Oryzias latipes: one gene and its partner. The protein of the gene in region 1 interacts with the protein of each later gene in a pairwise test. Links are inferred from orthologs where the notes say so. Each region holds a gene or a part of one and is shown on either strand. Other genes may lie near its edges.

Region 1 (3,988 bases):
AAATCTCTTTGTCAAAAATAACCTCTTTTTGACAAAAAGAAGAAATCTTCTTCAAGTTGTAAATTCCAGACAATCAACTGGAGCAAAAGTTGAAAAGATACTTGACTTTTAGTCTGTTCACTGATGGACGTATCAATCAGAAACACCTAAATTAATGATGGATTGGTGACTTGCCCAAAGTTTACAGGGATAATCGCCAGATAGATTCATTCTCTCCACATCCGAATTTGAACTAATATTTCTACAAAAAATAAACCTACTCATAATTAGAAGGAGTAACTCATTTAAGTATAAGAAATATCCTAAGGCTGAAACTGTCAAAAAGAAATCTTCTCATTTGGTGAGTTTAGAACAACTTTTTCTGTATCGTCCTGCTACAACACTGATTTGATAGGGCAAGTTATTTCTTCTTTAAGTGAAAACCAACAGAAAAGCTTCTAATATTGAAAAGTATGTGGGAATATGATCCTATAATGACAAGTGAAGATATGTAGTTTAGCAGCACATTTTTGCAGAGAACCTTTTTTTTTGTTTGTTGCTTTTAGAGTTTGCAAGTTTGAGTGAAACCACAGAGGCTGGAGTTTAATTCTAGATCTGAACCAGGCTTCTGAACCTCCTGGGGGGGCATGTGACTCACATCCTCTATAAAGTATGAAAGCTAATTTCTAAATTTTGTTTTTCTGTGTTTGTGTGCTGCATTGTTTTTTGGATGCTGTGTTTTCCACCGGAGCCTCTGCATCCTCACCTCGCATGTTTTAGGGTGGAGGTGTATGCGCACTTTCTGGCCACCTGCCGGGCCAGAGAAAAGAGCTCCACCCGCCTCAGCAGAAGTGCATTGTCCCGCATGCAGAACTGGGCTGCAGCTTCATTGATGATCAGCTGCAAAGGGGAAAACACTGACTGAAACAGGAACGGACACCATGAAGATAAAAACTATTTATCATGATTTGATGGTCAATTTAGGGTAGAAATTGCATTCTGGTCGTCTCGACTTCAAGCTTTTACCTCATGATGTGTGAGCTGCTTGCCTTCTCTCCTCTTGGAGTCAAAGCGTCCATAAATAAGACTGTATTTTCGGATCTCCTCTTCTTTGTTTGCGTTCAGGGGCCCCATGCTGAAAATGTGGCCCACGGTCTTTGACATTTTCTTGTTCATCCTCAGCAGAGTCTTCACCTCCGCAGAATCCGACCGGGGCAGGGTCCTGAAGAGCCGGTCAACACTCTCTGCCACCGCCCTCACCGTCTCCGCGTCCAGCTGTCCTCCGGGCCACGCCGACAGACCTGTTGGTGTAAAAGATGGCCCTGGAGATACGGAGGGGCCAGGAGGGCATGTTGACAGCATGGGCGGGCTGAGCGGCTCCTCTTCTACTTCGGAGGTTGACGCCAGAGCACCGTTAGCGTCCGGCTCGGTGCTGAGCCAGTGCGGGTCCAAGGGGGACAGCTTTTCTCTGTAGTGTGTCTCAGGAGGTTGTGGGGAAGCCTGGGAGCAGGGGCTCCTCGGACTGCCACTGTGCATCGGGGTAAGACACGCCCGGTCTTCTCTGTCACAGGGGGACTCTGGCTGCCCGTTACTCAAAGACTTCCTGGGCTCACCGCTTATCCCCATCCCGTCCACCTTAAACAGTGGGATGCCCGCCAGAGGAACATTGGCAACTGGCTGGCTGAAAAGGGCTGGGTTGGCCGCCCAGTCTCGAAGAGCCTTCTGCAGCCTACGCACATGCAGTGGCTTGGTGGCCATGCCAACTAATGCCATGATTTCCAGAAACTCTTCCTCCGCAGCCTCGCAGAGCTGCTGCACGTCGTCACCGCCCTGCTGGATGAAGGTCTCATAGTAGGCCAGCAGGTTGGCCCTCTGCAGCACCCGGTAGAGTTGCAACTCCCCAAGTGTGCGTGGCAAAGACATGGCACACCGCTGGAGAGCCTATAGGCGCGGGAAACATGAAGGTGAACTGAGAAATCCTCCACAAGAAAGTAGTTCTTATAACTGCTTATTACAAATAAAAATCCATAATGATGAAAGTTAAATAACAGTCATTTATTCAGTTTGTTCATGCATGTATTTAACAAAAATTAAACAATGTAAAGAAACAAAAATGATGTGGAAAACACCAATGCAGGAAGTTTTTCTTACCTTTTTTTGTTGTTTTTTTATTCAATGAAGTTGTGAATAAACACAGAGCAGTCCTTCCAGGTGAGTCTGACAAATAAAACATGACATCGATTAGAAAATAACTTTAACAGAAACCCCTGTGGCTTCCCCTGCTCTGACTAAAACCAAGACCGGAAACAGCTGCTCCACATCCAGATGTTTAGGACCTTCTTCTCCGCCTCCCATCCCGCTGATCCTGACCCGGTTCGGTTCTCTTACCTCTCTCCGTCCTTGTCCGCGGCTCGGATTGTCGTAGTAAATCCCTTTCGCCGGAATCGCTGGCAGAAATCCTCCTCCGGCGCAACGTATTGGTTGCTGGCTGCCTTTTGCTGTCTGTGTGGGCTGGAGAATGACGGGGGCGGACTGCAGCACGCCATCTGACCGAAAAAGAGCCTTCCTCTCCCGGTAGAGAGGCGGCTTTCAAATGGAAGGTGTGGGTGGTGGTGGTGGGGGCTTAAAATGAACCCTGTGCGTCTTTGGCTGGATGGAGCTTTGGGGGATTCCCGGGTTTGGTCGCGTCAAAGACCCCAAACAACGGTTGTGATGTGTTGGACTCCAGCAGAAATCCCTGCAGTCTATTAATTCACCAGAAAGGTTTTTGACAAACTAGTGTTGATGGATCAAAGACAGCTAAATGTGTACGTTTTTAAGAGTTTAATTTGTTAAAGTGATAAAAAACAAAAAACACTCCAAAAACAATATGTGTTTGTGAGGTTTTCCATCATTACTGACTGTCTGGTGAGGTTGTGATGCAACAATCCCTGCAACGCAGTAACCAAATATGTCACGTGACTTTTTAAATTAAAATGTTATTGTTTTTTGTTTTACCTGCAAGCCAATGTTTTTAAAAAAGCAGACTGAAAGACAAATTCTGTGTTTGCAGAATTCCTACCTACAACAACAAAATGGGGGGAAGTTATGGGTTAGATAAGCTCTAATGACTTGATATCTCATAAAACAACAAGAATGCTCTAACTGAAGTCCAACTGAAGAGGTGAATTTATTAAGGCCCAGTGGCCATTCGAGAGAATTTGATCCAGCAAAGTTTTGAAAAACCAGCATAAGAATAATTGATCAGAGTCAGATCTAAGGATTTGATAATCTGGATAACTTTAAACCTCTTTCAAAGTTTTGAAGTACCGGTCAAAAAAGTATTAAATGTAAAAAAAATCAATCCCTTTTTTTTTAATTACCAAATTACCATATGACCATTAAATTACCATGTTAAAATAGAATTTTGAGAAATTTTTAATTTCTAAGAAATTAGATTGGCTAAATTGTTATGAGCTCTTTAAGGTTAGTCAATCAAAATCCTTTATATTATTTTCTTCTTTTTTTTTACTGCAAGATAATAGTTTTTAAAAACAAGTCATTGATTCATAAAGAAACACTCAGGGTCCACAGATTTTACCCATGACAGACAAATTTGGTGAATTAGATCAAGTAAAAAGTACGATTTCTCATAGAGCTATTTCTATTTTGATCCAAACAAATTAAATAATTTAATAAAGTGTTGACTAAATAAACAAACAACCATGTAAATAAAACCTTTTATGCAGTTGAATGGATTTTATCAGATAAAACACTGGGCCAATCATAAAATCTTAATGTTTTTAAATAAAGCTTTGTCTCTCGGATTATTAACTTTTTGTCTCTTAGAGATGAATCCTTTAATAATGTGAGCTGACAAAATCTTTAAAGACATTTTATAATTTATATCATGCATTTTGTGACTTATTCAACTTTTACTTAAACTTTAAAAACTGTCATAAATAATTTATAAAAATGCACATTGTAGATGGTAGCTATTCACAAAAGCAAATCACGTTTTTGTTCAGTA
Region 2 (2,637 bases), on another chromosome or scaffold:
CTGTCAAAAGACACAAAAGATCATTCATTACCCTCTGACACTTTCCATGTTGTAATAACTCAGGTTAAAAAAGACCTACCCTCCTCTCGATGAGTGAACAAGGAGGGTAATGGCACTCGTAATAGGTACAGGAGCACTCCTCCTCCTCCACCAGCTCCCCGTTAGCATTGTAGTAGCGTGTGCGACTCAGCTCCAGGTACTGCTCTTCCACAGGGTCCGCGGGGACCTGCTGGATGGCCAGCCAGTACAGAGACTGCTCTCTGGACGGGAACAAAAAAAACACAAGGCGTAAATCTCAAAGATCAAAATTGAAAAAGAAAAAAAAAATCAGTGACTTGAGCTTCTCAGAGAGGAGGAACTGTAGTGTTGTGTAGGGACAGTCGCCTTTAGCAAGAGAAAGGGTACTTTGTGAAACAGCTCAATCTTTTTCCTACCTCTGCTTGCTTGAAATCTCCTCTGGCTTGGGGCTCCAGCCCACCGGTACCAGCCGTAGGTTATCTAGTCGGTTGTCCACCGTCACAGAATTAATGTGGATGACTTGGAAACTAGGAGCAATGCCTCCTCTGTGCTTCTCCCTGAGTATAGACAACAGTTACCAACGTGACAAAAAAACAAACAGATTACCGTACATCTAATATTCCATGTTGTAAACAGGACAACTAGAATTGTAGGTTTTAAGATGATATTTTTTAAGTAATGACACTAAACTTAATCTCTGGGGGAGTAATTTTTTAAAACATTTTTTATTCAGATTTCAGTGTATTCTGATAATATATACACAGGTGGAACCCGAGCTGACTCTACTTATGCCAAGGAAACAGTGGAGGCCAACCTCACTTAATCCAATCAGGAAAATCCTGAAAGGGTCAAATGGGAGTTAAAGAGCGATGGAGCATCAAGTTGTACTGGTTGGAATAATTTCCCCAAAAATTCATCTGGTGAGGCATAGTGGTCTGACTGGCATTCCCGGTTCTGATCAGAGAACTTGTTGATGTGTGTTGCAGCCTTGAAAATCCTTCTACAATGTAACGAAATGACACTTCCAAAGCAATGAGGCCTTCGCAAATGATCTTGTCATTTTTAGGGAATTTGGGAATTTAAAATATTGCATAATTCCATGGTGATAAGGTAGAGCATCTGATGTACATTTAGTGTTTTACATATATGCTTGGATTGGCATACATTTATCCTAAAAGGATCAATTCCACCTAAAGGTACTCACCACAGCAGCTCATGCAGCGGTCTGCCTGCCCACCGTCCTTTGCCGATATCAAAAGCATAAGCAAAGATTTTAGCCCCGTTGCCATCTGCATCTACCTCCATGCGTGCCTGAAAATGGAACCAGCTGCAGTTGTAGCATGGAAAATGGCAAAAACACTGCAGTTACAGCTGAAAAAAATCAAAAGGTTTTACCTCAAAGGCATAGTTTTCCACCAGTGGTATGTCCTGCTCATCAATTAGAGTGTATTTTGTCTATAAAAAAATTAAAAAAATGCATCAGCACCAAATGGAAGCATAACTTCTAAAACAAAGCAAACCAAATCACAGTTTTTCTCTGAATGTGTGTGGGGGGGGGAATAGAAGCTCAAAACCACATTTCAAAAATTTGATTCTAAAGATAAAAAAACATTTTTTTTGGTCTCCTTAATGCCCAGTAAAAGCTTTGTGATTGCAGAACCAAAATTGGTTGATTATTAGTGACTGTTAGGGCTGCACGATATGAGGAAAACTCGCGATATGCGATATTGGTGATTAATATCGCGATAACGATATAATTTGCTGTATATAAACAAATAGCCAAACAACCAAAAACATCATTTACATTTCACTGCAAAGGTTTAAAAATTATACTCCAAATGACCCTTGTCGACGTAGGAGGCAAACATCAAACATAAAAGGGCTCCATCTGATTGATCAACAAGGTAAACGGGTCCTTCCGATTGGTTAAATGCATAAAGGGATTAATTGCATTTGTTCACTATTTCAGGCTGCCATGAGTTTTTTTTGCACATTTGCAGGGGTTGACATAGCCCAGAAATTTGCACTGGCCCACAGGGCCAGTAGTTTTTGAAAGTTACTGGCCCGACACCGCGCACAGCGAGACCCGCCGCTCCGCAGGTGCTTGCAACTTTAGGGGGGTCCGGGGGCATGCCCCCCCCCCCCCCGGAAAATTTTAATATGGTGCAATTTGGTGCATTCTGGTGACATCTAGCACTTATTTATACACTTTTCAATGACTAAAAATAGAGCATATCAAACTTAAATCTGCTCTAGTCTGTTTCAGATGTTTTGAAGGGAGCCCTGCAGTGTAGTAGTTAACACTAGTTAAAAAGTTTTCATGCTGCTTCTAATCACTGCTATTTCACATTTGTTCCTAATCAATAGTTAAGAAGTTTTATTGACTCTTTTGCCCTGACTGCCTTAAGGTTCTGCTTTTTGTTACTGTTGCAAAGTTACATTTACTTTTTAGTTACTTTAGTTACCTAATTAAATTAAATAATTGAAAAATTAAATACAATTAAATTACTGAGATCATTCAGCTAACTAGAAATACTTACTGCTTACAGTGTTGTAAAGAAAAACAAAATTAAGTAGTTTGACCTTATACTCCATTTGAGTCTGAGATTCAGGTATTTG

What was found. The genes of interacting proteins can lie anywhere in the genome.
Region 2: the proteins of NGFI-A-binding protein 2 (region 1) and zmynd19 interact in binary tests that used the Homo sapiens proteins (3 or more experiments, as listed by UniProt). The two-hybrid records come from large-scale screens. The link is inferred for Oryzias latipes from reciprocal best matches to the Homo sapiens genes NAB2 and ZMYND19.

The regions. Positions count from the first base shown.
Region 1 is NC_019863.2:27,736,976-27,740,963, forward strand, and holds the start of NGFI-A-binding protein 2, read right to left. Parts: upstream 2,802-3,988; 5' UTR 2,368-2,801; intron 2,197-2,367; 5' UTR 2,131-2,196; intron 1,921-2,130; 5' UTR 1,903-1,920; coding exon 1,006-1,902; intron 901-1,005; coding exon 746-900; intron 1-745. UniProt on the Homo sapiens protein: Acts as a transcriptional repressor for zinc finger transcription factors EGR1 and EGR2. Isoform 2 lacks repression ability.
Region 2 is NC_019870.2:12,313,481-12,316,117, reverse strand, and holds part of zmynd19 (zinc finger MYND domain-containing protein 19), read right to left. Parts: intron 1,474-2,637; coding exon 1,414-1,473; intron 1,330-1,413; coding exon 1,223-1,329; intron 576-1,222; coding exon 435-575; intron 261-434; coding exon 80-260; intron 1-79. UniProt on the Homo sapiens protein: May be involved as a regulatory molecule in GPR24/MCH-R1 signaling.